Linked DNA regions of Canis lupus familiaris. The protein of the gene in region 1 interacts with the protein of each later gene in a pairwise test. Links are inferred from orthologs where the notes say so. Each region holds a gene or a part of one and is shown in the gene's direction. Other genes may lie near its edges. The genes, in order: CNOT1, CNOT11 and CNOT4.

Region 1 (11,108 bases):
GGCTCAGTTGGTTGGGCATCTGCCTTTGGCTCAGGTAATGATCCCAGGGTTCTGGGATCAAGCCCCAAGTTGGGCTCCCTGCTCACTGGGGTGTCTACTTCTCCTTCTGCCCCTATCCCTTGCTCTTGCTTTCTCTCCCTTTCTCAAATAAAGTCTTAAAAATAGAATTAAAAAAGGATCTGGGCTTATGGTCCAGCTTACAGGTAATCACTTCAAACAGTAGGTCTATAATCAGGGAGGACACAAAAAATTAGAGCAGAGTCACAGACTCTGTCCAGCTCAGAATTCTGTCAGTTGTCCTATGTTTCACTCATCTGTCTAGATCCCAGGCAGGCTTCCTAGATCTGCTCCAATTTGTTTGCAAGCATCCATTTAGATAGTTCTAAAGTACTTATGAACCAGAGGAGATGTGTGGCCTTTCCTTTTACTTCCTAGCTTCTTTCTTGTTTTCTCATGAAAAGAGACAGGGGGATAAATAACCTTAAGTCAGGAGCTCCTATACAGCCCTAGGACAAATTTCCTGTTAAGGAGAGGACCTAATAATTCAAATGTAACTTCAACTGGAAAACATCAAACACATAGCAGTATTTGAAGAACCCATTATTACTAACTCACAACACCCTGTCAGATGACATGTCACATTTTTTGTTGTTGCTGGGAAAGTAATCTGGTTTTTAATGGGCCACTGAATGTCACAGCTGGCAGGTTTCCTGGGCAGGGGTTTTTCCAAACTGCAGCTGAGAGTGTGGTGCCTGAGAATGTGAGCCTTGAAGTCTGACAGCTTGGGTTCCTACACTTGTTCTGCCAGGTATTTGACCTCGGATGAGTGACTCAACCTCTCTAAGCCTCTGTTTTATGATCTGTAAAATGGGGTAAATAACTCAGACTCTACCTCTTAGGGTCCTGACATGTGAATAAGATAAAGCAAGTAAAAGTGTACTTTTAGAATATATGGGTTGACTAAAGAAACCTGTGCATACATAAGAATTCCAGCACCCCACAGCAAATCCTTGGCTTCCTGGGAATCAACAGCCCACAATTTGGGAGCCATGTAATGTTTGTCCAATATCCTCAGAGTAGAGAAGAAGGGGAGAAAAAAGGCCCAGGGAGGGTACATGACCCTCCCAAGGTTACACAGAAAGTTGGGGGTACAGCCCGGTTTGGGACTTGGGTTTCAGAATATTTTTCTGTGAGTTTGCAATATGCCTCCCCAGACATCCTCCCTTTGGGGTAGAGCCACCAGAGTAATACCAAAGCATGTGTGCCTGGGGAGTCAGGAACTTTGTTACTAGGCAGTAGTGATGGGCTGGAAGGGTTAGGCTGTCAGGAAGTTGTTTGGACAGGGAGTTGTAAAGTAGTCAAAACTACTATAAATTGAATTTACTGAATCACTTGATAAATGGGACTGAAAAATAGGAGCATGAAATAATAAGGTTTGTACTCTGCTTACCCTTCTTTCAAGCATTTCAAAAGTAATACAGTTCACACGGGTCTTAAAGTCTCAAAGTCCTTCCTCTTCTGAGTAAATTTGCATCCACTGACTGCAACCCAATTCCATAAGGTTTTTTTTTTTTTTTTTTTTTTCCATAAGGTTTTTGTTTCCTAACTGGTAGGTTTTCTCCTCCATGCTGTTTTGGGAAACAAGAGTTTGTAAAGTGTTTCCAGAGCCTGGGATGCACAATTAACTGGAGGGTGAAGGACTGGAAGATGAAGGCTGAGGAGAGGCCAGGTGAGTAATTAACAGCTGGCTGAAATATCCTGTTTCCAAATACCTTTGAACCCCAGGACACATAATTGCTGAGTTATTTAAGGTGATTCAGTGAATCCTTTGTGAAGGTCTCTAGTAAAATAGTTTGGGCATGATTTCCTACTATGTCTTTCAGTAAAATGAAAAAGGTACATCACATGATCTCCATTACTTCTTAGTTTGTGAACATTCTATAAGTCTCTTTGCTTTCGAGTAGGGACAGAAGCCACCCAGAATTCTTGACAACATACAGTTGAAGAACTTTGATCTCCAGGCTACTGTGTGAATCCTACAGCTACTTGGCTAAGTCCCCAAGGCAAGTCAAATTCTAGGAGTGGCATTGATGTCGTTTTAGGGGAGGGACTGTCGGTGGGTTAAGAATGTCCTGGAACAGCCTCAATATAAAGTAGCAAACCATTTTCTGGCAAAGACAGACTGAAGTGGGGAAAGGCAACTCAGTTTTATTTCAACTTATTTTAGGAGATCTATGTTTGAGGCCTGAACTAGTTGTAGAATTTCAGAGTTGACTTCAGATAGTTGACCTTTATGGGTCTCACTTTGTCTCTTTTAAAAATTTAAAAAGAGACGCCTGGGTGGCTCAGTGTTTGAGCATCCGCCTTTGGCTCAGGGCGTGATCCCGGGGTCCTGGATCAGCTTCTCCTTCTGTTTCTCCCTCTGCTGCTCATCCCGTCTGTGGTCGCTCACTGTGATGCTCTCTCTCAGATAAATAAATATCTTAAAATAAAGTATTTTTAGACACAAAAGGTAGCATGAGACAGATGGTTGGGAGACAAGCCACTGAGTCTAGCCCAGGATGCAGGATGGAGTGATGAGGAGGGTCTTTTTTTTTTTTTTTTCCCCCAAAAGGTAGAAAAACCAAGCAGTCATCACTTCCTTCCCCGTCCTCCCACCTTTGTGTGGGAACAGGTGACCATAAAATCTTACAATCCGATATAGGTAAATCGCAGCAAAGGTATGTTTCTATGCTTTTTCTAATGAGAGCCTTTCTGATACCTCTCTGATAGGTATCCTGATACTGCTAATAGGGCTAAGTCAAAAAGAGAATCTTAGCTTCCCATCTTTCTGTAAGGGGTCCCTTCTTCAATAGGCAGGACTAGATAAGGAGAAAGTTCTGATAAACGTGTGGCAAACTAGGACCAGGTAGGAGACTACATTCCCCAGCATGCAATGCACCCTTAGGACGCAGTCCGTGGCGGAAGAAGACGCGATACTTCAGCGTCAAGGATGGCGCGCGGGGCAGAGGGACGACTACACGTCCCAGAACGCAGAGCCCCCCCCGCCCCACCCCCCGCCCGTAGTTATAGCCTGGCTCCTGGCTTGTTTTCCGGTAACTGGCGTTCTTACCAAAGGGACGCCAGGGGAGGGGGGTGCAGCCCCGCTGTATACCGGACCCGGCACTTCGAAAGGGGTTAGGAGAGTCGGGAAAAGTGTCTAACGCTCATTCAAAGTACTTCCCGCGCGGGGTGGCGAGGGTTTATGGGGCCCCTCCCATATTTATTGTTTCTCAGAGGCACTGCCAGGCTCCGATTGGTCGAAGACCTCGAGGGCCGGTGGGAAGTCCGTGAAGCCCCAAATCGAAGTTGTCTGCGTCTCCCCATTGGTCTTCCTCTCGAGCGCAGGCGCGAGGGCCCCGACTCCCGTCCCCAGGGACGGGGAAGCGGCAATTGGCCCGAGCCCGCGAAGTAGGAGTCCGGATTGGTAGTTGCTAGCAGGAGCCTGGTTTCTTCCTTGACTTCTGCAAGTGATAGTGTATGATTGGTTTAAATCCGCGGGCACCTGACGGTGATTGGGCGGGAGCCCCGGGCTGGGGCCCATCATTGGCTGGTGCCGGGGCCGTCCCTCCTCGGGCGGGCAGCGAATGATGAAATGGGAACGGGGAGGGGAAAGGCCGCGACGTGAGCGCGCGACCTCCGGCGCCATTTTGTAGAGAAACAAGCGGAGTTAACCGAAGAGGGGGTCGACGAGAGCCGGAGACGGGGACTCAGGAGTTTCCTGTGTCCAGCGCTGCCGGAGCCGCCTGAGGTGAGGCGGGCCGGGGTCGGCGGCTGCAGCCGGCTGGCGGTGTCAGCGTCGGGGCGCGAGCGCCCCTGGGCGAAGGGACGGGGGCGGTCCAGGGGCCATTGGGAGCGTTTCCCGGAGCTCCGCGGGCTGAGGGGCAGTCGGGACCGGGAAGTGGGGAGGCGGGAGACGGCGGGCTCTTTCCACGGCTGGCGGAGCCTTCGGGCTCTGAAGAGAGGAGGCTGGGGCGGAGGCTTCAGCGAGCGGAGCGCAGAGCGCGGGGTGAGCCCCGCGGCGGTCGGCGGCAGGCGGCAGGGCCTGGGGGCCGCGGGGGCGGCCGGGGGGGCGGCTGGGCCGCGCTGGGCGCCCGCTGCACCCTCGTCGGACCCCACGAGCTCCTCAACTGCCCCTTTCTCTGCGGGCTTCCGGAGGGGTGCAGCGGGCTCCGGCCCCCGAGGCCTAGTTCCCGAGGCGAGGGTCCGTGGCTGGAGTGGCTGCAGGCGCCTGGGTCTTTCTGGGGGATGCGGAGCCGGCCGCCCGCTCCCTGCGCCCCCAGCACGTTGTCACCCCCCGGGTGTTTCGGTGCCCGCCGGTGCGAGGGGCGGGCGGGAGCCAGCACTTCCTCATTACTTCTGGCCACAGGTTTTGTTCCAGTCGCGCGCCGGGGCGCTCCGACTTCTCTCCGAAGTCGCCCACTCGGGCCGGTGAGTCTGAGCTGTAGAGGCGGCTCGGCCCCCCCCCCCCCCCCAAGTGTCCCCCCAGTGAGCGGAGCGCTTGTAGGCCTGGGCGCTGGGGAGAGACTTCCTTCCTGCACCTCTAGCAGAGAGGTTGCTTGAGGCCAAACACAAAATAACTCATTCGGTACCAGTTCCTCTGCAAAACTTGCCCAGCTAGCCTCACACAGATCATTATCCCCGCTAGGAGTGAGGTTTGTAGCTTAAAAAAAAGAAAGAAAATGTCTGATACCTGTGGGTTTGGAAATGCTGTGTTTAAAGTAAACTTTGAGAAGTAGGCTTTCCCCCCCCCCCCCCGAAGCCACCCAATCAAATGTCCCATTGCTTAGGACTCTAATAAAAAAAGTGTTTTCTTCCTGTAAGCAGAGTAACGATGCTTCTTTCCCCTTTTCTCTGTAATTCTGTTGCCTTGGAAGATTTAACAGCCAGTAATTTGAATAAACTATAATTGAGTATTTGGGGGGTAAAAAATTCTGATCATGGCCCTCGTGACAATCCGTTTGATAGGAATAAGGATACATATATGAAAAAAGGGGAGGACAAGGAAAAAATTAGAAAGGTCAAACATTTAGAGCAAGCCTGTTTTTGTTGGGGTATTTGGGTTTAATATGTTAGTAATGTGTGGCTCAGGTTGACTTTATCCTTCTAAAGCTGGGCAGCGTGGTATTTTTGCTATTAATATATATGGTAACAGTTTAAGTAGTCTTGTTTTGGGACACTGCAAATTGTTACCTTGTCTTAGCAGAAAATGAGCCGATGATACATAAAGTTTTAGGCATCCAGTTTTACTTTAAAATGGTAGTATGTTGATAAAACCTGTTGAGAGGGTTGGTCCCTTTTCAACAAGTGTTGGTCCCAAGACCTTTATTGGAAACTTAACTCTAGAATCAAGGAACAAAGACTGGACCATTAATAACTGACAGCGTTTCCCTTTCTTGCTTAAGATATAACCTTAGAGGTTTTAAAGCAGGGTTTTGTGGCATCTTGGTGGGACTGAAATGCTTTTGGTTCCTAAGTCAAATATATTAGTTTCTGGCTTAGTTTTTTTCCTCTAATCTCTAAATTTCTACTAGGCTTGTTTAAATCCCACTCTCTTCAAAATGGAATCTTGTCAGGCTAAGTACTGTGACGTTTTAACTTTGGGTTATGTCGTTTAGAAACAAACTGTATAACTGTATGAACACAAGAGGAAATGCTGTCTGTTCAAGACCCTGCTTAAAGACTGATCTCATCATTGCATGTTGCTTTCTCTAAGCATGTTTTTTGTTAGATTCTGATACGTAGTTATGAAAAACTTTTTGAGCAGCCTGAGTTGATGAACTTGAATTTTTTTTTTCATTCCATGAGGTAACAAAATTTTGGGCATTCAGTGCGTGGAAGGGAATTTGTCCATAATTCTAATTAAATGCTCACACATTCTTCTTTTTTCTTCTTTCTTCTTCTTAGATTTTATTTATTTATTCACGAGAGACACAGAGAGAGAGGCAGAGACACAGGCAGAGGGAGAGCAGGCTTCATGCAGGGAGCCCGATGTGGGACTCCATCCCAGGATTCCAGGATCACGCACGCCCTGAGCCAAAGGCTGGAGTCCAACCGCTGAGCCACCCAGGGATCCCCTCACACATTCTTTAAGGCACTAATTTTTGTTAAGATGTTTATGCTTCTGGAATGACCAAAAATAATAGCCTGCCATTTTGAAATGCTGTATTTTATGAACTTTGGTATACTTTATTAGTACAAAACTAACTTTCAGGTCATTTAAAAATATTAGCTGAAGCATTTTTAAATGGCCCTCTGACCAAACTGAACTTCCTGCTGGGACATTTCAAACTGGCATCCCACCGAGTCTTATTTTAAGACCTTATATATAGCAAAGTCCTACATTTCCTTTTCTGTTTGCTCACAATTTTTAAGAAGCATGTTTCAAAGCTAAAAGGGGCTCAAAACCCTTAGCACCCTATATATACACAATAGTTTAGCGTTGTTCTTTTTACTCTTATGTTTGTAAGACTGTAGCAAAGCAAATAAAACATTAATTGAAAAGCACCTTTAAGAAGTCAGTAATTAGAGGCGTAGACTTAATCTGAAACCTTGTGTTGAGATTTGAAGAAAGTACAGCTTTTGGAAGTGTAGACTGTTGATTTAAGAAATGGACTTCTGTCTTTAATGTTGGAAAGCTCAGCATAAACCTCCAGGATAAAATGTTTCGGTTAATTTTGTTAACAGTTGTTAGGAAATTCCTAAAATTGAATGAGATGTTAAATTGTCTGCCGGAGAAGTGTTTGTGTGTGTGTATGTTGTACTAATTATGTAAAATATAGAAGGGAATGAAAGCATATTTCAAAAGACATCATCTTCTGTTCTTTTTTTTTTTTTATCTTCTGTTCTTAATCCTCATTAAGAGCTCAGCATTTTCCCTTTCAGATAATTGAAATGCAGTGTTACTTTTAAATTTTTATTAGATTAATCCTAAGAATAGTTAACCCTTTGTTTCAGACTTTTTCTTTCTTTTTCTCTTCTCTACTCCCAGTGTGGGGCTTGAACTCATGACTCCACGATGGAGTCCCATGCTCTACTTACTGAGCCAGCCGGGCGCCCCCTGAAGCCCACCCTTGCCTTTTTGCAGTAGCTTGCTTTCTTTTTTCCTCAAGTTGACTTACACACTGAGCATGGAGCCCACCCCGGGCCCCAGACCCAGAAGTCATGACCTGAACTAAAATCAGAAGTTGCTGCCTGGGTGGCTCTGGTTGAGTGTCTGCCTTTGGCTCAGGGTGTGATCCCAGGGTCCTGGGATCGAGTTCCCTGTGAGGAGCCTGCTTCTTCCTCTGCCTGTGTCTCTGTCTCTCTCTCTCTCTCTCTCTCTCTGTGTCTCAAGGATAAAAAAAAAAAAAAAAATCTTAAAAAAAAAAAGTTGGCACTCAACTGACTGAGCAACCCAGGTACCCCTTTGCAGTAGCTTTCTAACTAATCTCCCGTATCTTCCCCATGATTTATTGATTGTGTTTTTTAATTACATAAGTAATATGTAAATACATTCCAAGTGTAAATAATTCCAGGAATATAATTAATTCTTTACTGCCAGATTGCCTCCTAAGTCACTGGTTTGAAAAATAGGCATTCTCTGCTCAAAAGTCCTTCAAATCCCTTGGCCTGGAGCTGTGTGTTGATCCTTTTCCTACCTGTGGCATCATATTACTATCTTGTAGTAGTCAAAAGACTGTTACATAGTGGTTCCTAAATATATCTTTATCCTTTATCTCTTTTATCTGGAAAGTCATTGTGTCTACCAAAACATCTATCATTCAAACTCAAATATACTGTCTATAGAAGTCTTTGCACTGATATTCCTAACAAGATTGGTTTCTTAAATACCTCTTGGTCAGTTTTGTTACATATAGCATATACTGTTTTGCCTTGTAAATTTTTTCTGCCTCATTGCCCTGAATTGTAATTGGATAATGCTTCATTTGTTCCACTAGGGTAGATGTATAGAGCCTTTTTCTTGGAACTATAAACTTATAATTCTGTTGACATCTTTTAGATGGTTACACTTTGAGAGCTAGTCATACAGAATTATGGTATCATTCTTTAGGAAATAGAAGCTGAGGAAAGTAAGGTGACTTTCTTAGTTTAAGGTCAGACAGACCAGGTTTTCCACTGTATTCTTTTTTTTAAGTTTTTATTTATTTATTCATGAGTGACACAGAGAGAGAGGGAGAGACAAAGGCAGAGGGAGAAGCAGGCTCCCTGCAGGAAGACGTGGGACTCAATCCCAGGACTCCAGGATCACGCCCTGGGCCAAAGGCAGATGCTCAACAGCTGAGCCACCCAGGTGTCCCTCCTACTGTATCCTGATGTTCATTCTGTCTTTCCATATTCTGCTTGAGTTCAGTACAAGGAAAAGAAAGATGTATGAATTTACTAATCAAAGAAGAGCATAGGGGCACCTGGGTGGCTCAGTCAGTTAAGTTTCAGACTTTTTTTTCCCCTTAAGATTTATTGATTTTAGAGAGAGAGTGTGCATGTATGAGCGGGGGAGGGGAAGCAGACTCCTGGCTTGAGTGCAGAGCTTGATGAGAGGCTTGATTTCATGATCCTGAGATCATGATTTGAGCCAAAATCAAGGGTATGTTCAACTGATTGAGCCACCCAAGTGCCCCAAGTATCTGGCTCTTGATCTCAGCTTAGGTCTTGATCTCAGGGGTGTGAATTCAGTCTCCCCGTTGGGCTCCATGCTGGGTGTGGAGCCTACTTAAAAAACAAAAAACCCATAATCTTTGTGGTTAACCATTTGTTTTTTTTTTTTTTTTTTTTAAAGATTTTTATTTATTTATTCATGAGAGACACAGAGAGAGAGAGAGAGAGGCAGAGACACAGGCAGAGGGAGAAGCAGGCTCCACACAGGGAGCCCGACATGGGACTCAATCCCGGGACTCCAGAATCACGCTCTGGTCTGAAGGCAGGTGCTAAACCACTGAGCCACCCAGGGATTCCCCAACCATTTGTTTTTTTGAAGGAGTTTGTCATTGTATAATTAAAATCTCTGGAGGTTGGTTTGGTAGTTCAGGATTTCACTTTCATTTAGTGGATTGGATTTTAGCACATCATGAATATCTATTAAAAATAGTTTTCTACAGAATTAAATTGTTTCTTGGGTAATTAATTACCTAGGGAGATTTTTTTCTTTACTTTACTTTTATTTTATTTTATTTTATTTTATTTTATTTTTATTTTATTTTATTTTATTTTATTTTTTATTTATTTATTTATGATAGTCACAGAGAGAGAGAGAGGCAAAGACATAGGCAGAGGGAGAAGCAGGCTCCATGCACCGGGAGCCTGATGTGGGATTCGATCCTGGGTCTCCAGGATCGCGCCCTGGGCCAAAGGCAGGCGCAAACCGCTGTGCCACCCAGGGATCCCTTTTCTTTACTTTTAATGAGTGTTTCTTCCTGTTTTATTGACATAATTGACACGCAGGACTGTATATGTTTCATATGTATAGAGTAATGACTTGACCTACCTTTATTGTGAGATACCTCCAATGTTCATTTGGAGAAGATTTTCTTAGTTGTGACTAAAGGAAACAAAATCCACCCCCCCACCCCCCCCGGAAATTTTTTGTAGGATAAGACATGAGATTTGAGTGTTTCTTCTCTTCACTGTGAAAATATAAAACTCTAAACTGACAAAAAGTCGACCTTTTCAGTTACAGTTATTGTGAGTGGTCATTAGTTAACCTTAGTGTAAATTAACTCGCACTTCTGTTAAGACCACCAAAGGATAGGAAAGGACTTAGGTTTTAAAATGTTCTTGAGCACTATAAATTGAATTCTGACAGATACAAGTAAGTTTTCTCTTGGTGTAGTTATATATGTGTGTGTGTGTGTGTGTGTATGACTTATTTATTAGAGAAAGTGTGTAGGGGGAACAGAGGGAGAGAGAGAGTCCCAAGCAGACTCCCCGCTGAGCAGGAAGCCAGGCTCTAGTCCAGTCCTACCTCCAATGAGACCAGGACCTGGACCAAAACCAAGAGTCAGATGCCCAACTGATTTAGCCCCCCAGGAATCCCTGGTGTAGTTTTAAGTAGCTCCAAGAAGGATACTCCGTTATCTTTTAGTAGTCAAGTATATTATATACTATGTAGCTTTATAATTTTGTAATTACTACTGGGTTGGTGCTTCTTAATATTCGGTTGATTTCGGATCAAGAACTTGATTCTTGGGATCCCTGGGTGGCGCAGCGGTTTGGCGCCTGCCTTTGGCCCAGGGCGCGATCCTGGAGACCCGGGATCGAATCCCACGTCGGGCTCCCAGTGCATGGAGCCTGCTTCTCCCTCTGCCTGTGTCTCTGCGCCTCTCTCTCTCTCTGTGGCTATCATAAATAAATAAAAAATTAAAAAAAAATATTAAAAAAAGAACTTGATTCTTTTTTGGTTTTGGAGTACTTTTCCTGGTTCACTTTCTGTTTTTAAGAAATAGGGATTTATTGGGGTTCTTGGTTGGCTCAGTCCATAGAGCATGGGTCTCTTGGTCTTGGTCATGAATTCAAGCCCCACGTTGGGTGTAGAGCTTACCTGAATAAATAAATATAGAAGTAAAATGGTTTATTTGCTAACACTAACAATATGTCATGCTGTGCTAATGTATGGATTCGATTAAGTCTTGTAAAATTCTGAAAGTATCTACAAAAGGCTATGAAAGGTTCTTTTTAACAGTATTAAGATTCTATTGATTCCAGTAAAATAGCTTATTTAAAGTGGCATGGTTAGAGGATGCGTGGGTGGGTCAGCAGTTGAGCATCTGCCTTTGGCTCAGGTCTTGATTCTGGGGTCTGGGAATCGATTCCTGCATCTGGCCTCCTTCGAGGAACCTGCTTCTCCCTCTGTGTCTCTGCCTCTTTCTCCGTTTCTCATGAATAAGAAAATGAGATCTTAAAAAAAAAAAGTGTCCTGGTTAGGAAGCAGTTGCAGCTCTTTCTCCATTTGTTATCTCATTTCTTTTTCTTTTTCTTTTTCTTTTTCTTTTTGTTTTTGTTATTTCAAATCTATTTACTACTTGGTGACCACTATGCTTTTGAATATTTCCATAACCCTTGTCAGCTTCAGC
Region 2 (10,459 bases), on another chromosome or scaffold:
AACTTGTACAGTTGCTCACAGAAGCAAGGGAGAAAAAGCATTTCTGAGCATTAGCTTTTTTTATTTGTTTTTGCTTGCATGTTTAAGCTTTAGCCTTTGCATGTTGGATACAGAGCTTTTAATAGTTAAAAATTTAAGTTTCATTTTTGATATTGCCACAAATCACAGAATTTCAAGTGGTATATTTAATTGCATTTTCATAAATGTATATATTTGGTTAACTGAAACTTAAATAATTTTGTCTTTAAAAATATGTGAGTGGAAATGGCAAGCAGCAAATGCTAATTTTACCAGAGTCAAGTTAATTTTTAAAAATAACCATTGGAGAAATTGTTATACATTTTTGTTTACAGGATTTTTACCTCCTATAACTCCACCAGAAAAGTTTTTTCTTTCCCAGCTAATGCTGGCACCCCCAAGAGAACTCTTCAAGAAGACACCTCGACAGATTGCATTGATGGACGTTGGAAACATGGGCCAGTCTGTGGATATTAGTGGGCTTCAGCTAGCCTTGGCTGGTAAGGAGCAATCAGTGGTTTGGGTATTCTTGTGTAGTAGCATTAGGCCCTTTTTTTTTTTTTTTTTTTTTTTTAAGGGTCCCCACTTAAAATGAAGGTCTTTGTAATTGTGCTAAAAGCTTCATAACTTCCATGAGAAATGTACCCTCAGTACTGGATCCTTGCTAATGTGGTATATAAATTCACTCTGAGTTTTCACTTGAATTGATTGCTTTTTCAATTTAAGAAGAATGCTGGATAAAATTTAGTAGGTTTAAAAAAAAAAGTGATCTGCAGATTCAATGCAATTTCTATTAAAATCTGAACAATATGTTTTGCAGACATGGAAAAACCCATTGTAAAATTCATACGGAATCCTAGGGGACCCTGAATAGCCCACATGGTTTCTCTTGGCACCCTTGTTGAAAATCATTCTACCTTATATGGAAGGGTTTATTTCAGGGTTCTCTATTCAGTGATCACTGCTTTGTCTGTCTGTATTTCACTTCACACATTTGCTTACAGTAGCTTTGTAGTAAGTTTTGAAGTCAGGATGTGTGAAAGTTCCCCTGTCCTGCTGTTTCAAGATTGCTTTGGCGCCTTCTGTGGGACGCATATAAATGAATGGGATCTCTTGAAGCAGAAGCCTGTTGTGATAGAAAATAGGAGCTTTCTTGACCTGGATGGTCAGAGCCTCTCTGAGTAGGGAAGATAGAAGAGGCACCTTTTGCTAGACTGCACTGAGAGTGATTGATTAGGGAAATTCTAATATATGGGCAAATTTGTGAACCCTTCACCTTGTGACTGAGTGAGCTGCAGTATTAATTTTGACAGTCCCCCATCCTTCTTACTAGACTTAATGCGTCTGTGACATTTGGTTTCTTATACAAGGTGACATCGTTCAATAAACTGCTTTTTCCTTGGAACATTCCGACCCTCACTTTTTAACTCCTGAGTATCACATTAGAACAATGTTTATTTTCTGAAATCGAGAAATCTTTTTAAGACTTTTAAGGTTGAAGGTATGCAGAAATGCTAATTCACTAGTGCTAGATATAATCTACTTACGGAAATAAAATATGATTATTTCTTGAAAGATTGTATGAGAGCTGGGTACAGAGGTGTGACAGGCAGTTTCAGTCATTTTACCTTCAGAAGGGATATATATATTCTGAGGGCTTTTGCTTTGTATTCAATAACGTGAGAATCAGGTCTGATCTCCCTTGCAACTTCGGATGACTTGAGTTCGACTGTGAGAAAGTTTTAAAGTATATCAAGCCCAGAAAGGAATATATGCTAGAGTTAGTCTCGAGAAAGCTTGGCAAAATGGCTAAACTTGCTGTCTCCTACCCAGATTGAAGATGTCCTAATCCATGCATTTTTACAAATATCAGGGGGAAAAAAAGTGCTACACTTATCTTCTCTGGAGCTGGCTACACACAAATTCACCTTTGCAGAGGCCTGCAATTCATGTCTTGCAGTAGGATCTATGGACCAGAGGTGTATTTATGGAGGATGCAGTTGCATTTTTTTTAACTTTAAATAAACAAGCAGACAAGTTATACAAAAGTAACTACAAGGGGCATTTTTTTTTTACCCTATTAACAATGTCAATATTTCAGAGGCTTTATTAAAAATTCCAGATAACCTGTACTTGTTATTTTACTACACATTGTGCCAATTTAAACATTTTTCCTATATTTTTGTCAAGAGTATGTTCATTTTCTGTACTTTAGCTAGCAATAGGAGAAAACAGCATCTTGGGATGATTTTAGTTAGAATTTTTCCTATTAAATGAATGAAGTTGAACATGTTATAGATACAAGGCATCTTTCATGTCTGACAGTTTTCCCACTGAATCCATGTTTGTTTGTTTTTTTTTTTATTAACACTGATAGCTCTTTAAGGAATCAGGAATTTAGCCCTGTCTTTTCAAAATTACAAAATCTGTCTCCCTCTGCCTATGTCTCTCTGTCTCTCTCTGTGTCTCTCACAAATAAATAAATAAGATCTTTTTTAAAAATTACAAAATCTGGGGATCCCTGCGTGGCTCAGCAGTTTAGCACCTGCCTTTGGCCCAGGGCGCGATCCTGGAGTCCCGGGATCGAGTCTCACGTCGGGCTCCCGGCATGGAGCCTGCTTCTCCCTCCTCCTGTGTCTCTGCCTCTCTCTCTCTATCATAAATCAATCAATCTTAAAAAAATTACAAAATCTGAAATATGTAGTTTCATAAAATCTGCATGTATTAAGGAATTATAAAGTGACCCTGGAGCAGCATCATCTAGGTTAAGAAATATGTTTCAGGACCTAGAGTCTCCTTGTGTGTTTCTCTTCCTAGCTGCTCCCCTTCTCCCCCATCACTAACCTCATTTTTGTGATAATCAGGATTTACTTTATCGCCCTCACCTTTATATATGCCTGTAGTTTAACTTTGGATGTTCTTCAACTTGAGATATATGTGGAAACATGTTGTGTTCTTTTGGGTGTTAATTGTAAAGTGAATCCATACTGATGAATTGTAGTGGTTGATTTTCATTGCTGTTGTGACATTCATACAATGGAATATCAAGTTCTCCATCCATTTTACTTTTTTTTTTCTTTTTTAAGACTTCACTCACTTACTCATGAGAGACACAGAGAGAGAGGCAAAGATACAGGCAGAGGGAGAAGCAGGCTCCATGCAGAGAGCCCGATGCGGGACTCGATCCTGGGCCTCCAGGATCATGATCTGAGCCGAAAGCGGGCGCCAAACCGCTGAGCCACCCAGGGATCCCCCCCATTTTACTATTAATGGACATAATGTTGCTATGTTCATTCTGGTAGTACATGTGAAAATATTTTTTCTAGGGAGATAAGCAAATGTAAAACTTCACTAGCTAGTGGCAGATTGTTTTCCAGAGTTGCTGTGCCATGTTTCATTCCCATTAGCAGTGTGCAAATTACCTGACATTCTCTGCATCTGATGATTTCAGGCTTAATTTTTGTCAGTCTGAAGGGTATGTAATAGTGTCTTGTGTTTTGACTGATCCCCACACCCCCACCAGTGAGGTTGAACTTTTTTTTTAAAGATTTTATTTATTCATGACAGAGAGGGGAGGGGGCAGAGACACAGGCAGCGGGGGGAAGCAGGCTCCGTGCAGGGAGCCTGATGTGGGACTCGATCCCAGGGTCTCCAGGGTCACATCCCAGGCTGAAGGCGGCGCTAAACCGCTGGACCACCGGGGCTGCCCTGAACATCTTTTCAAAGGTTTATTGGCCATTCAACCTTTTTTTTTTTTTTTTTTTTAAATTAAATGGTTGTTGAAGTCAGTCCATTTTTTTTTTAAGGCTTTTTTTTCCCCCCAAGATTTTGTTTATGAGAGAAAGAGAGAGAGGCAGAGACACCGGCAGAGGGAGAAGCAGGCTCCATGCAGGAAGCCTGATGTGGGACTTGATCCCAGGACCCCCAGGATCACAACCTGAGCCGAAGGCAGACGCTCAACCGTTGAGCCACCCAGGCGTCCCTGTTTTCATGTGTCTGTTGGTCATCTGTATATCTTTAGAGAACTGTCTGTTCTGATTTTCTGCCCATTTTTAAATCCTTTTTTTTTTTGGTGTTGTAGGAGTTATTTTGGATATTAACCTTTTACCATATACAGAATTTGTAATAGTTTCTCCCGTTCAGTATGTTTTCATTTTGTTAATGGTTTCCTTTGCTGTATGAAAGCAAGAGGGGAGAAGCAGATTCCCAGCTGAGTGCAGAGCCTGCCATGGGGCTCTATCCCAGGACCCTGGGATCATGACCTGAGCTGAAGTCCGACACTTAACCAACTGAGCCACCCATGTGCCCCTATGTATATATATATATGTATGTACTTAGTAGGTTCCAAGCCCAATCAGTGTGGGGCTTGAACTCACGACCCTGAGATTAAGAGTCCCATCTACCAATACCAACTGAGCCAGCTAGGCTCGGTCTTGGTTTTAGGCTCTAGGTCTAGTTTGTCTTGCCACCCAACTTTTTCCCCCCGTCCATTTGCATGGGATACCTTCACTTTCAGTCTGTCTTTGGGTTTGATGTTTGTGTCTCTTGTAGGAAGCATATAAATAGGTGTTGTCTTTTTACCCAGTTACCCTATACCTTTTGAATTAAAAGTAAATGGGCACTTAATTTATTTTTAAAGTAAATATTCACTGATACATACTTTTTGCCATTTTGTTGTTTCCAGGTGTTTTTGCAGTTCTCTGTTCTTCCCTTGCTCTCTACCCTTATGTTTGATGACTTTATTTAGTGTTAGGCTTGGATTCTTTTCCTTTTTTCTGAATCTATTCTAGGTTTTTGACTGGTGGTTACTGATATTCGTATATAATATTCTTTGTATATACCAGTCTAAGGTAATGGTTAAGTTTGAACACATTCTGAAAGCACTGTATTTTTACTTCCCCACCCGACACCCTGTGTTCCACATTTTATTTTTTTTAAGATTTTATTTATTTATTCATGAGACACACAGAGAGAGGCAGAGACACAGGCAGAGGGAGAAGCAGGCTCCATGCAGGGCCCGACGTGGGACTCGATCCCAGGTCCCCAGCATCACACCCTGAGCTGAAGGCAGGCGCTAAACTGCCGAGCCACCCAGGCTGCCCCTCGTAAGGCTAGTTTAGTGGTGGTAAACTCCTTTAACTTTTGTTTGTCTGATAAACTCTGTCCTTCAGTTCTGAGTGATAACCTTGCTGGGGCAAGCACTCTCATGTTTTTTTCCTAGCACTTTGAATAGATCATGCCACTTTCTTCTGACCTGCTGTTCCTGCTGAAAGAACATCAGATAGCCTTATGGGGTTTCCTGTGTAACTATGTGCCTTTTCTCACTGCTTTTAAGATTCTCTTTTATCTTTAATTTTTAACATTGTATTTATTTTAAAAGATTTTATTTATTTATTCATGAGAGACACAGGAGAGAGGTAGAGACATAGGCAGAGGTAGAAGCAGGCCCCTGTGGGGAGCCCAGTGTGAGACTCGATCCCAGGACCCGGGATTACACCCTGAGCCAAAGGCAGACAGTCAACCACTGAGCCACCCAGGTGCCCCAATTTTTGACATTTTAATTATGTGTCTTGATGTGGACCTTCTTGGGGCTATCTGCTTCCTGTACCTGGCTGTTTCCCTGGTTAGGGAAGTTTTCAGTGATTATTTCTTCAAATGTTTTCTGCCTCTTCTTTTGAGTTTCCCTATAATGCAAACATTATACTTGAACAGAAGAAATTCTTTAACCTAGCCTCATTTAAAAATTTTTTAATATTTTTGCTGCTCAGCTAGGGTGCTTTCCTTTACCCTGTCTTCCAGATCACTGATACTGTCTTTATCTGCTTATCTGCAGTTGATTCTCTAGTGTAGTTTTCATTTCAGTTGTATTCTCCAGCTCTGTTCTGACTTCATTCACTTTTCTCTCTAGTGAGGATCTTTATGACCATTACCCAAACTCTTCATCAGGTAGATTGCTTATCTCATTTCCCTTAGTTCTTTTTTTGAGGTTTTGTGTTGTTTTTTTATTCAGAACATATTCCTCTGTCTCATTTTGTCTGAGTCTGTTTGTTTTTATGTAGTAGGTATGTCAGTTAAGTCTCCTCATCTTGTAAATAGTGGCCTTATATAGAAAACGCCCTGAGGGGCAGCCCGGGTGGCTCAGCAGTTTAGCACCGCCTTCAATCCAGGGCCTGATCCTGGAGACCTGGGATCAAGTCCCTGCATGGAGCCTGCTTCTCCCTCTGCATGTGTCTTTGCCTCTCTCTCTGTGTCTGTCATGAATAAATAAATTTTAAAAATCTTTAAAAAAAGAAAAAAATAAAATGCCCTGAGGAGCCCAGTACCTCAATCCTCCTTGGTCACAAGTACCAGGCACTGTAGGGGTATCTGTTGTGTGGGCTGTATGTATCTTCTTGTTGTGAATGGTCTGCAATGGCTCAGGGTGCTCTAAGGGGTAGGAGTGGCCCCCAGCACAGCTGGCTGAGAGGCCGGACTATAGCTGCTGCTGGCTGCTTGATTTGTAGTTTTTGGAAAAAAAAAAACAAGACAATACAAAAACATAGATTGAATCTTGCCTTTTGTTTATATTCCCAATTAGTAGCTTGTCTATTCTCTTGCCCTGTGGTACCCTCAATTTAAAAATATCTCTTATTTTATCCTTTTTCAGAACGTCAGTCTGAATTGCCAACCCAAAGTAAGGCTAGCTTCCCTAGTATTCTCAGTGACCCGGACCCAGATTCTTCAAATTCTGGATTTGACAGCTCGGTTGCCTCTCAAATCACAGAAGCTTTAGTCAGTGGACCAAAGCCGCCTATTGAAAGTAGGTACATACAATTTTATGTACTTGGGTTTTATTTTACCAATACCCTGAGACTTGGTTTTCTAAAGCAGTTATTTTTTGTTGCTCCCTAGACTTGAATTCAGTGAAAAACCTCCTAGCGTCTAGTAGAACAGAGTAGAGGTGGTCAGTTTAGTTTCTTCTGTAATAAAATTACATACCAAATGTTTTATTATCAGCAGCATTCTGGAAGATAGATTTTACAAAAAGGAGTCTTGTAATGTATTACCTTTTCTTTTTTAGTGCTTTATTAATCTTATCATTACCTTCTCCCTTGTAAAGTTTTACTAATATTATAGTTCCTAATTTACTTTAATTCAAAGAAAACACCTACTGAACATGAAATCCGATAGCTGCATCTTTTGGTTTCATGGTATTCTATGTGGTTTTAATGATGAAGGCATGCTTTATGCTTAAGAATAAGGAAAATGTTCTCCAAATTACAGTGTTACCATGAATTTTAAACTTACATGACTTTAATGCCATTAACACATCTTTGGCATAAATGGGCTTAATAACTGAGGTCTCATCCAGTCACAGGTATGCCTGAAAGCCCATGGCACATGCTGATTTTTATTTAACATTTGTTTAAGCACAACTTTTGTTGCATGAGCCACCAGAAAGGTATGTGAAAACCCCAATCAATTAGATACTGAATCTAGCTAACATGAGGCATCTGTACTTCACGGAAATGTTTCCTTTATCACAGTAGTAGTACTTCTCATAAAATGTCAAAATTTTTATCTTTTTATAAATACTCTGAAAAGAGATTGAGATGCTAGTCCTGGTGATAAAAATGAGAGAGAGGATATTTCAAGATAAACTGATGATTCTTAGCTAGAAAACCTCAATAAACTAGTCTCAAATTTGGCATGGGCTAGGATCCATGATTGGAATAGGCCACCTTAGGGCCCTGTGTGGAAACCAAAATGAGGTATAAAAATCCCAGCCAGTATTTATTTTAGTGGGTTTTTAAACTTAGGAATCAATGCTGTTTCAGAAAATAGTTGAAGTATTGAGTCACTGCATTTTCTTGTATAGTTTTATGAACAGGAGTACAGGATTTTTGAATTAGGGGATTTATGAAAGTCTCTGGATTCATTTGAAAATGTCAAAAGGCAGCTATACTTTTCTGTTTCCTGCCATTTCATGAAATGCAAAGAAAAAAGTTACAAATAATAGTGGTCTCTGAATAAAAATAATGGTAACCAAGAGTAGGATGAACAGAATCAAATAGCATTTCATTTTTCCCATAAGAACTTTTACCAGTATGTGAAGTTGTATCCTTTGCTTCTGAGTGGTGATCATGCTTTAATTAAAAATTGCCAGATCATGGTAGTGCCTTTCTCTCTTGAAAAATAGATTTGCTGTCTAGCATAATGATGTTCTATTGATATTTCGTTTTGTTGGTATTCTGAATAAAACCCTGAATTTCTAAATCATCTCTGCCTTGGATTTTGAAGTCTTGAGCGTTTTATCATGTTACCTTTATAAAGATGTGTATAGATGTTAGCTTACTAAATGAAACAAATATTCCTGTTCTCATTAAAGGCCATTTCCGCCCAGAGTTTATTCGTCCACCACCTCCACTCCACATTTGTGAGGATGAGCTGGCTTGGCTGAATCCAACAGAGCCTGACCATACGATTCAATGGGACAAATCAATGTGTGTCAAGAATAGCACTGGTGTGGAGATCAAGCGAATAATGGCCAAAGCCTTCAAAAGCCCCTTATCGTCTCCTCAACAAACACAGGTATTTATTTATAAGCATTTCTTATCTTTAGTCCTCCACATTAAGTGGCCAATTAAATGACCCTGTCAACAGAAGTCAGCAGTAGGAAGGGTTTTACATCCAAGGAGTCTTGGATCTCTGAATCTTTGTTCTGCTTCTCCAGTTCTAGTCATTTTACTCTGGTGGGGAAAGACTGATAATTCAACATGTATCAACTCTTATTTGAACGATTTTGACTCTAGGAGAGGAGGGGTAGGATAGATCTCACTTTTGATCCTGTGATTACAGTGTTTGTAGTTCACTTTGTTTGCTAGGCCATTCCTGAAACAGTTCACTGTGGTATTTGCCAGTAGGGAGGAAGTGTGGAGAATTTTGAAGAAAAAGCACTTATGTTTTTGAAGAGAACTATTTGAATTACATAGTTGAGTAGGACCTGAACTGCATCATCCTGCAAAGTGAGGGACTGCAACAGGGCAGCTCTCCCTCTTCCCTTCCTGCTTCTCTCCTCAAGCATTTGTTCTCCACCTGGGGCTGTACTCTTGTTTCTCCTATTCCTCAGTTCTCTGTGGTGTGTGCTTTTCTGGAGAGCTGGTTGGCAACTAAATTATTTTTTGGTTCTAGCCGAGGACAGAAAAGGTCTACAAAGGAGTTAAGGATGATATTGTTATATAATCCAGACATTATATCCAACCAGACAATACCAAGTTTGGCTTAATGCCCAGGAGGAGAGATCATTAGCATATTTGTAAATAGTCTTTGCAGTTCAAGACATGATTATAATAATGGGTTTGAAGGAAGAAATTTATGAAGTTGGTTCAATGCAGACAATTTTTTTTGACTCAAAAACCTCTTTTTTTAAAAATTTGATTGTATTTAGCTCCTGGGTGAGTTGGAAAAAGACCCCAAACTCGTTTATCATATTGGCCTGACTCCAGCCAAACTTCCTGACCTAGTGGAAAACAACCCCCTAGTTGCTATAGAAATGCTACTGAAGTTAATGCAGTCAAGCCAGATCACGGAGTATTTTTCAGTCCTGGTCAACATGGACATGTCCTTGCATTCAATGGAAGTTGTAAATCGGTAAGTGTTTATACTCAATCAGATGTGTGTGTGTGTGTGTGTGTGTGTGTGTGTGTGTGTGTGTGTGTGTGTATGTGGGGTATAATATAGACGCTAACTGGCCAGAAGGGAAAAACTTGCAACAGACTTTAAGGCAGGGATTTTTTTTTTAAACCTTCTTGAAATTTTGCTAAAGACCATGTCCATTTAAGCTTACCAGCCAGTGAGAAAAAGCCTGGCTTCGCCTGGCTGGAAGCTGGGTGATCACAAGTATGTGTACAGGAGAGTGGTCTTTTCAACCTTACTTTCTGTCACTGGCAAAACTGGTTACCTGCTTTTTGAAAGTATACTTCACTTATGCATTCTCTGCTCAAGCCTTTCCCCTTCGGTGAAGACTCCCACCCACTTCCTTCAGGGTCTTCATTCCGGTTCAGTCCTTGGATTGAGCTACCTCTGAGTGCTTGCTTCTTCCCCCTTCACTACATTCTTAACAGCATTATTGTCTTCACCAGATTTAGTCCAAGAATAACCACATCTTTTTTATCAATATTATTGTTTCTAGAGAATAATTTAAAGGACAAAGTCTGCTTATGCTCCCCACCCCCCATCTCAAGTGACCACACCACTATTCCTTGGAGCACTAGTTCCTCAGTGCCTTATGGAAAAAGGTTCTACAGTCACATTTCTTTTGGAAATTCATACTATATAGGTAGCATAGTATCCCTTTATCTGAACATGGAATTCCTATCCCACAGAATCCTTTGGAGAATACCAGCTTTCCTTTACAAGATTCTAATATGCCACCATGCCTTCTGTCTGGGTCTCTATCACC
Region 3 (10,459 bases), on another chromosome or scaffold:
TTTTGACCTACTATAGTAGTACTCATTTTAAGCAGTACCTTTTTTGTTTTATAAGTTATTGTTTCACCCATTGTTTTTGGAGAATCTAATTAGAATTGTAAGTTGTTCATGGGTAGGGATTTGATCTTATATTTCTTTGTATACTCAACATCTCAGCCAGTATCTTTACATCACAGTGCATCAACAAATATTAGGATGATAAAATGTCTATTTATTCTGGCTTTTGGGTTTGTGTGTGTGTGTGTGTAAGAATTATTTTACTCTGATTTTATTGGATGTGTTTTTTGTTTTTTGTTTTTTTACAGCCCCATTGACAAACCTTCAGATTCTCTCAGTATAGGGAATGGTGATAATTCCCAGCAGGTAAGATTTTGATTCTATATCATTTCATTTATCTTCCATTCCCTGAAACAAGGCATTCTATGCAAGTAAATTTTCTGGATAGTGGAAAATACTTTAAATACTGAATGCCTTCTTCAGTCTTGATTTTAAGAGTTGTTTCTCTGCTGTATGCTCCCCATGTTGCCTTTTGTCAACCTTAATTTTGTTTCTCACAATGTTCTTGCCCCAACAGTTTTCCCTTTCCCCAAATGACTATGGGCTTTGAGATAATAAACCAAATAGTTCAGTGCAGAGTTGTATCCACATTGATACTGAGTAAAGTCCTGATCTTGTATCCTGCTTTGTAACATCTTGTCCAGTTGCTAGTTTTTCACTGCATAAGTTTCTGTACACCTTCTTATATTGGTACAAAAAATATGTAGTTCTAATCTGTTCCATAAAGAATGGCCAGTTCCCCACAATGTTTATGAGAAATTTCGAGATCTAAAATGCACTGCTTTTCCAGAATTTCTGCTCATAGGTTCCATAAAAGAATTTGAAAATCTGTACATCCCTTGTATATTTTAGGCTAGTATTAAAGATTCTTTTTATAGTAAGTTAAAAATAGTTGTAAAGGATGTAATTTTTAGGATATTGGTAAATATTGATTTTTTAAATAAAAGCACTATATTGCTTTTTAATAAGTAAGAGATTTAGGTATCAGAAATCATTCATTTAAAAAAAAACTGCATGCTTTCTTTTAACATTCAAATTTTACATCATTCCATGTTCTTCTTGAACTCATTCTTCTATTTCTACTGCCATCACAGGATTTTATCTTAATACAATATAGTTAATTCTTGACAGGCATATACTTCTCTCAAAAATAGACATGTATTTTGAATTGGAAACAATATTTTTTTTCCTGACACAAGGCTTTAAATGCCAATTTTCTTTCTTCTTTTTAAAATTTTTTAGAAGGATTTATTTATTTGAGAGAAAGAGTAAAGGCACAGTGGAGAGGAGAAGAGGGGAGGGAGAAACTTAAACAGACTCCTCGGTGAGCACAGAGCCTGCTACAGGGCTCAATCTAAGTACCCTGAGATCATAACCTGAGCCAAAACCAAGAGTCAGATGCTTAAGTGACTGCACCATCCTGGCGACCCCCCCTCCCGCCCCCGATCTTTCTTTCTTCTGAATTTTTATTCATTGTTTTGATATGGTCAGAATCTAGTCATGAGTCATTCTCATCACCTGTCTGAATATTTCTAATATTATTTCTGTTGCTCCCAGAAAGTTTTTGCTCTTGGTCAAAACACTATAGTTAGATCCCAAAGAGTGAGCGATATTCTTTTTGTAAAGTGAGAGAAGATAGCTTCTGAAAGGAGAGGAGGCTGGCTTAGTCTTTTCAAGGAGGGTCAGTTTTAGAAAAGAGTACATATGTACTTGATGGATTTTTTGAAAATTCATGTTCTTGTAAAAAAGTCTTTAAGCACCCCACTTTGAAACCACTGTTCTAATACCTTTCATTGCAGGCCTTTTTAATGGTGACTTATTAAAGTGTATAAACTTGTATTGATTATTCTTTTCTTTTCCTATTTTATTTAGATATCTAACAGTGATACGCCTTCACCACCACCTGGTTTATCAAAATCCAATCCAGTCATCCCCATCAGTTCATCCAATCACAGTGCACGGTCTCCTTTTGAAGGGGCAGTAACTGAGTCACAGTCGTTATTCTCAGATAATTTTCGCCATCCCAACCCGATCCCAAGTGGGCTTCCTCCTTTCCCCAGCTCCCCACAGACATCTAGTGACTGGCCTACAGCACCAGAGCCACAGAGTCTCTTCACATCAGGTATACAACGATACTAACTGCATGTTAATAATTTCACTCAGGTTGAAATGAGACCTTGCAGGATGTGTTTTTACTCCTTTAAGCCACCTCTACTCCCTTTTTCATAAAGTTGTAAACATTTAAACTGCATTGGAATAGGATAATAAGTAAATTGTGTGACCTAGGACTTACTGTGTTGACAGATTTCTCTAGAAATCACGGGTTAGATCATTTTTCTGATAATAAAATGCTTATTCCTCTAGGAATTATTAAGGGCTTACATTTTTAACCTTATTTGTGTTTATATAGTTAAATTTAAGATTTTTTTTCTCCAGCCGACAAAGAGGTATGTTACTTAATATTGAAAGTTACATTTTGACATTTTTGAGCCATTTTCATTTTTATTCATTATAAGTTTTCTTATTGATGTGAAGGATGGCATAGAATTAACATTGAAAATATAACACCTATTATCAGTGGAGCAGACAATTTTAAAAAATACATAAAGTTTAAGTAGATATTTTTTTCATTAAGTTACTTTATTTTTTTCCTGGTAGTATATAAAGCAAATATTCAAAATCACTTAGACTTTGCCTTTGATAAATACATTTTGATAAAGTCTAAAAATAGACTTTACTAATTGAATTCTCTTACAATCATGTAATACCTTATTTCATTGAAATGACTTCTTCCATGTTTTGGTTGTGAATAGCTGAAGGTATAATTTGGGTTTCAAGTATTTTGTTTTCTTCAATTACCAAAATCTGTATCATTCATTTTTTATTGGTAACTTAAGAATGCAATCATTGGTAGAAGTATATGAGACCTTTTATAATATGATAATGTGCTAAGAAGGCATACAGCCTTTGGATATATTTGCCTTTATCTTGTAATACGATGTGTTTAACTTTCACTAGTATAACTTTCCTGAAGTGTACAAGTGAACTGCGTATTTTCAATTTATTACCAATTGTGTTCCCAACAGAAACAATCCCAGTATCATCCTCTACAGACTGGCAAGCAGCATTTGGCTTTGGTTCTTCTAAACAACCAGAGGATGACTTGGGTTTTGACCCCTTTGATGTCACTCGAAAAGCCTTAGCAGACCTGATTGAAAAGGAACTGTCAGTCCAAGACCAGCCTTCCCTCTCGCCCACATCTCTTCAGAACTCCTCTTCACACACTACAACCGCCAAAGGTCCGGGCTCTGGATTCCTGCATCCTGCTGCACCGACAAATGCCAACTCTCTCAATAGTACCTTTTCAGTCTTGCCACAGAGGTTCCCTCAATTTCAGCAGCACCGAGCAGTTTATAATTCATTCAGTTTTCCAGGCCAGGCAGCCCGCTATCCTTGGATGGCCTTTCCACGCAATAGCATCATGCACTTGAACCACACAGCAAACCCCACCTCAAATAGTAATTTCTTGGACTTGAATCTCCCGCCACAGCACAACACAGGTCTGGGAGGGATCCCTATAGCAGGTAGGTTCATTTATAGCCTTTGAGAATTTGTGAATAACTCATGCCTTCAGGTTGTTGGGTGGGAAGGAAGGGAATTTTTGAATAACAGAGAGTACTTATTATTCTTGGAAATTTCTATGGGGAAAAAAAAGTCCTTATCATCATCTAAAAAATTTTTAATTGGATGGATGCCTTGTAATATTGAGCTTTATAAGGATGGTGGAGTATTATACCTAATTATAACCTGGAAGCATTTTATTTAACAGGGTAGTTACCATACTTTCATATGGAATATAAATGCACAAAGAAAAAGAAAAAAATGGGCTCTGAAATCATGGTGCTGGAAAGTCCAACACCATGGTACAAATTCTGATTATACATTCTAAAAGTAAACTGATTCAAAAAAATTTTTTTGAGATGGTACTTAGTGAGAGCATGAGGGACAAAGCCACTCTTTGACTACTTTTGGCAATTACTTATACAAAAGTATAAGTGTATCTGACTGATACACATGCGCAAACACACACACACACACACGTAAACTGGGCTATATGTTAATAAAGTACTTAATATTTGAGAACTCTGTTTATTAATGTTTCACAGATAACGTGTATACTTTCTGTGAAAAAGCAGTTGTTTAAGGAAAGATACTTTCCCTTTTGGTCTGTCATGTTTTTATTTCTATGGAAAATGTTAGGTTCTTTAAGAGTGATACCAGAATACTTCTGGTTTTGTACTGCTACCCTTGAAGGTTTCAGAACTTTTGGGTTTTAAGGTCCCATATAACATTTATTAGATCAAGTGACTTCTGTATCTAAAGAAATCCTTCTTGTTAATTTTATTTTTTTTTCAAATTTATTTAATTTGGGCTTTAGAAATAGATGACTAGTAAAAGAGAATTTCTCTCTCTTCTGATTCTCAAGTAGAATAGAATAGTCCCTCACAATGTTACATAACTCATAAAATTATTTGTTATCCCTTGTCATGGCCTTTAAGATATGGCATGGCACAGTCTTACTGTAATAATGTGCTGTTACCAGCAGGTTGTTTGTTCTCTTGTTTTTAGTAAGATTGATAGGTGAATTTGGAGAGATCCATCAGAGTTCTTTGACTCTGTTCTTTTTGTGATCAACCACATTTCATTTTCAAGACAAGTAGATGGGTTAAGGGAATATGGTTTGTGGCTTTTGATACAGTGAAGTTTACAGTTGATAAAGTGAAGTTACTTTATATAAATATGATAGCACCAATCTATTGGTTCATCTTTCAGTGGGATTCATGATATTTGTTCATTTGATTATGGTAGTTAGTAGGTAATTCAGAGTGACATTTTTCAGTCTTCTCCTTCTAATGTGATACTCACTTGTGAAACACTTAAGTATTGAGTTCCTGATACTGCTTTTTTAATCTTCCATTCACGACAGCATGTTAGAGTGTAATTTTGTTTTGTTTTGCTTTAATCATTTAGAAATGTGGCATTTTAATGACTAGTAGTGTATTTCATGACCAGTAACAACATTAAGAGTTAAAGTTCCCCTAAATATCCTAAACATTCAAAAATAAAATATTAAACCAATTACAGTGAATATTTGGGTTCTTGTTTGCCCAACAATGAACTAGGCCATGTGGTTAATATAAAAGAACTATAAAATATGGATACTATTTCCAGGAATTTTGCAGTGTAGTTGAAGAAATAATATTATGTATGAGAGTGGTAACTGTATGATAACTGGAATCTGAGAGATTATCAGATGAGGCTATAATTGTTGGGAAGGCTTCATTGAAGTAGGAATTGATCTGTACTGTGGTATCTTGGATTTGGGTTAGTGGGGAAAAGAGAGACCTTTTATACTGATGGGAACTCCTGAATAAAGATGTGAAGACAGGAATTAGTATGTCATTTCATTAAGAAGCAATAAAACTGCCTTCAGTAATGGGAGGTGCTTCATGTATAAATAGAATGGATGAGAACTTGGGGAACTCTGACAGCAAGGCAACATAGTATGGACTTGATATGTTAGGAAGAAGGGTGCCTTTGGGGGATGATAGTTCTTAGCTATCTTCATTGTATACTTTTATTTGACTTACTACATGACTATCTTCAGTAAGTTATCCGTTCTTCTGATTTCACAGTTACCATATTGTCCATTAGCACAAAAAGAATAATTTTAACCCAAATATTTCAAACCAGTATATATTGTGAAAACGCCACAGTGGTCATGAATAATTACTGATTTGTGAGTATAGTTGTCCTCATGTTAGTCATTTGAAATCTTCATCTAAACTAGATACTTTATAAAAAAAATGTGGCATTAAATTATGGTATTATTCTGTGGGTTTTCCTTTTAAAATATACTCAACTATAGAACATAAAATACTTTTTTTCCCCAGAAATTCTAAGAATGAAGTTACCAACTTGTAGGTCCTGAATCATTGTCATATTTTCTGGGAGGTTGGGAGAGTTTGTTATTTCAGATTTTCTGTTTTTGTCTGTGCATACTTGTTTGATATTTAAATGGTGACTTATGAATAAGCTTATTATTAGGTTACTTTTAAGTCTCTGATGAGAAATTTTAGTTTTAATGCACCAAAAGATTTAAAATTGTTAAGAGTTAGAATACTCTCATGTCCTATAAATATTAGGGAGATATCTCAGGAAGCTGAATGTGCTAAGTCTCAAAACAGAATAGTTATATAATTATAGCCAGATCATTTGGGACTTTCAGTAATAATTAGAAATGACAGAAAGTGAAATTCTGGAAAACTATGTATATTTTAACTGTGTCTAATATGAAGCAATTTAATACCTAGGCAATATCTGCCTCCCCCACCCCTAATTATAAATCATTTGTACTTGGGTTGAACTATTGAAGTAGGTTCAACTTTGTACCCTGCAATGAATATCATGGTATCTTACCAGGGGAGCTGTTGGTGAAGTGCTTCATTAACGGAGAGTACCTACTGTTTCTATGATACCTGCCACTTTAAGATATGCTTAGACTGGAAAAGGCATGTATATTTATTTATTCTTTAGATACGTAGAGCAAAACAGGGTCCCTGACCTTTAAGAACAAATAACTCAGGTGTCACTCACCTATATATCTTACAGATACCATGTCTATATTTATTATATATTTGTATTTAAACTTTTAGTGTTGGTTTGTTTCAGTTAGATTATTAAAAATTGTTATATCTGAAACCTATCATGGGAAGGACAGTTGCCAGAAGTTTGACAGAAATGCGGCTTCCATTTCTTATGCCTACATGAAAACTTTTTTTTTTTTTTTTTTTTGCTTAAGATTAGTTATTTCCTTAATTTGGCAAAATCTTTTTACTATCATTTTCTTGGCTGCACATCCAGTTTGCTAACCGTAGAAGGATTTTTGAAATAAATATTCTTGAGGGAAACCTTTGATTAGTGGAAAATTATAGTAGGTCCCTTCAGATATTTTTTATTATTGGAACCATGTGTTTGTTTTTGTTTAAGAAGTGACTTTTCCTAAAAAGTGACTTATCTTGTTCAGCTCCTTCTTTTAGAAATAGCAAATCTATGTTCCAGGTTAAATAATTTATTAAAAATCAAACATTCAATTAGTAGTAGTAGTAGTAGTACCACCCAGATCCCACATTCAAAATGAAATGTTTTTCCACTCCAACATTGATGTTCACCTTCACAAATGAAGATCACTGGCTTGTACTTTAACTTGGCTTTCTTCCTATAGTAATTGATTGTTGCTCTCACACCCTTGCAGATTCCTTTTCATCATTAGTATATATTCCTGAGACAATTGGCCCAGCTCAGGGGTATGGCCTATAGCTTACAAAATAGAATGAAGTTTATCAACTTGAAAAAAAATGAATGTCTTGCGTAGTCCTTATTAGTATCATGTTCTCACCAGAAACCCTATGTAAAGTTTTTTCTACACAGCCTCCTTGCTGTGTACTTGGAGTTTATAGAATCTTGGCCAATTTACTGAAAATTATGAAATAACCTGTTCTAAAGGCTGAGAGTCTTTCTTCATATTGTCAGTTAAATATTTCCAAATGTAATTTTGCAAATTTATTTTTCAAAGGACTCTGCCAAGATGTTTTTATTCCATAACACTAAAAATTATTTGGAAAACAAATAATAGTCTCAGTCTGTAAGCATTGTTGTTTTAAGATATGCTTAGAAAAATATTTGAAACTGTTTAGGATTGGATTTTTTTCGTGTTTTCATGAAAGGACATTTTTCTTTAAATTTTATTACTGAATTAGCTATTCTAACAGTGACTTGAATGGATTTTGAGTCATGTGTGAAACAAGTCACTTATAGTCCAGTAATTATTGATTATAATTAGACCTGACCTCCTTTCATGTATAGTTCTCTGACCTAGAAGTAGTCATCTCGCTTTCAGTCAATTGGATCATTTTACTCCTTTGATCCCTTCAGAAGTACACAGTGAATTTCCAGATGCTATATGGTAAATTAATATTTATATTGTTATTTTTTATAAATATAATTTCTGATTTTAAAACACGGATTTGTCATTTTTCCTTTTAAAAGCATGTTTTCACACCTGTGAACTTATTTTTAATTTTTTTCCCAAAATACTGTTAGAGAAGTATCTGAAGTGAAAAGGGGTCCAATTGACTTGGAAAAGAATGGCTTTCCTGGTCTCTCTTTTTTTTTTTTTCTTTTCTTTTATTTATAAAATAAAAATCTAAAATCTATTATATTTGTTCTTATATCTGACATAGTATTAAATTGAAGGGTGTGTTTATAGTGTAACTACTTTGTAGGTACTTGATAAGTTTATATTTTAAAATTCATGTCTTGTTTCACACCCGGATTCCAGCCATTAAGCATGTATTTTATATATGTATCAGTATTCCAAATATTGAAATCATTTTTAAAGGGACTGTTAACAAATCTAGTCACCCATAACTAGACCATGACTGACTTTTCCACAGGGGAAGAAGAGGTGAAGGTTTCGACCATGCCACTGTCAGCCTCTTCCCATTCATTACAACAAGGACAGCAGCCTACAAGTCTCCACACTACTGTGGCCTGACAACAGAACTGAGAGGAGAGGATTAGACTCTGGGGTGCTTGCATGGGCAACCGGATTTTTTGCATGATTCCTTTCTGATTTTGCATTTAATGTATACACCCAAAAGAGCCAATATAAACGTTCCTCATGCCTACAACTAGTGTGTTACCTCGTAGTTGCTAAAGTATTTCTTCATTAGGCCTTTAACACTATTTATTAGCATAATAATTTTGGCATTGTTTCTCATGAGTGATACTATTTTTAACTCACACAAATAAACTTGTAGTACTAATTAAGATCCCAGATGAGATTAGCTAGAATTGTTCTTATTTTGGCTCTATTATTGAAATTATGCAAAGATAATGGTAGTTCCTTGTTTTCTGATTTGTGAAAAAAAATGGTAATATCCTAATATACTCATGAAAAATTTGAAAATTAAGATAATGTCTATTGCATTTCTTTGAGTACTTGAGAAGAAAGAAAACATATAAAACAAAATTGGTGGTGTTGTTTAATGCTCAGAAGGATGTTGTCAGCAATTATTTTTAGTTGTATGGATTTATATCCTATATTAATGCATTACATGTTTAGAAACTGTTTTTGTTGTCTCTCATTTGCACATTTGCACTTTCTTTTGAATGGTTGTTAATTATATATAGAAGGTTAATTATTATAGCCTAAATGCAATATCTCTTTTCTAATGCACTGCCTAGTATACCAGGAAATGCCTCAGAAACAGAATTTCAACTTACAGTTGATTTATCAGAAACTTGAATATGGGGTAAACATTGTATGTGAGAAGCAACCGTAGTAGTGTAACATTTTTATTGAACAAACAGTAGTTCTGTGAGATATCTGTTTGGAAGCTTCGTTGTTTAATAATTGAAATGTGATAATAAATCTATATTACAAGTACCTGGCCAGAATGAGACTAAAGTGGAGGAAAAAGAGATTGAGGATCCTCTAAAATTAGGCCATGTAAGTTGTAGGTAATTTTGCTCACTGAGGATAGTGAAGTACTTTATTAGGACATAATATGAATTAATGTTTTTGAATAATACACAATTTTTTGAAATAATTTTAAAGCTGATAATGAAAGAAAATAAGACTGAAATCAATTCTGAGCAGCAGATAAAAGCTGATTCAGAAAACATGACCATATTCTGCTAAATTAAGTATCTGGGAAGACAGATCTCCTCTTGATGTTTTCAAAAAACAATTGTGATAAAAGATATGCCTTTATTTGTTAAAATATTAAAAGAGTAATGTGAATACCAAAAAAGGAAGCCTAAGTATTTAAAATAATAATTATTATTTAAAACTACATTATTACAAAATGATACTTAATATCATGTTGGAGTTTTCAAGGTTACCTCTCTATATATAAAGTCTGATTATTTTCTGTTAGATATAACACAACAAATGGAATGGCTTTGTCCATAGGTATAGTGGGGAAACTAAAATCTATTCTTAGATATCCTTTGATCTGCTTAACTGAAGTGTAGGAACAGCTAATTATGTAGCCACTTAAATTATTTTTGTTAGATTCTACATAAGTGACAATTTCTAATTTCTATTAAAAAGTGACTTTAGGGCAGCATTACAAGAAATTTAGAAACTGCAAATAGAATATTATAGACTTATTAGACAGAAGCCTTTTATCATGGGTTAATTATGGTTTCATTTTTGTTGTAAGAGGCCAAGACATCCATGTAATGTCTCTTCTGTGGTGCTAAGGTTCCTAGGCTTTGGGCTCCCAATAAGGAAGCTTATTAGTACATAGCTTTCTCCAGCCAGCAATGCAAG

The links.
Region 2: the proteins of CNOT1 (region 1) and CNOT11 interact in binary tests that used the Homo sapiens proteins (3 or more experiments, as listed by UniProt). The link is inferred for Canis lupus familiaris from reciprocal best matches to the Homo sapiens genes CNOT1 and CNOT11.
Region 3: the proteins of CNOT1 (region 1) and CNOT4 interact in a two-hybrid assay, tested with the Homo sapiens proteins (3 studies listed by BioGRID and IntAct, with this or other methods). The link is inferred for Canis lupus familiaris from reciprocal best matches to the Homo sapiens genes CNOT1 and CNOT4.

The regions. Positions count from the first base shown.
Region 1 is NC_049223.1:57,304,590-57,315,697, forward strand, and holds the start of CNOT1 (CCR4-NOT transcription complex subunit 1), read left to right. Parts: upstream 1-3,641; 5' UTR 3,642-3,790; exon of another isoform or gene 3,791-3,833; intron 3,834-11,108.
Region 2 is NC_049231.1:42,709,436-42,719,894, reverse strand, and holds part of CNOT11 (CCR4-NOT transcription complex subunit 11), read left to right. Parts: intron 1-353; coding exon 354-518; intron 519-6,664; coding exon 6,665-6,817; intron 6,818-8,386; coding exon 8,387-8,589; intron 8,590-9,445; coding exon 9,446-9,648; intron 9,649-10,459. UniProt on the Homo sapiens protein: Component of the CCR4-NOT complex which is one of the major cellular mRNA deadenylases and is linked to various cellular processes including bulk mRNA degradation, miRNA-mediated repression, translational repression during translational initiation and general transcription regulation.
Region 3 is NC_049237.1:12,485,396-12,495,854, forward strand, and holds part of CNOT4 (CCR4-NOT transcription complex subunit 4), read left to right. Parts: intron 1-305; coding exon 306-363; intron 364-1,929; coding exon 1,930-2,179; intron 2,180-3,143; coding exon 3,144-3,641; intron 3,642-8,573; coding exon of another isoform or gene 8,574-8,674; exon of another isoform or gene 8,675-10,459. UniProt on the Homo sapiens protein: Has E3 ubiquitin ligase activity, promoting ubiquitination and degradation of target proteins. Involved in activation of the JAK/STAT pathway. Catalyzes ubiquitination of methylated RBM15.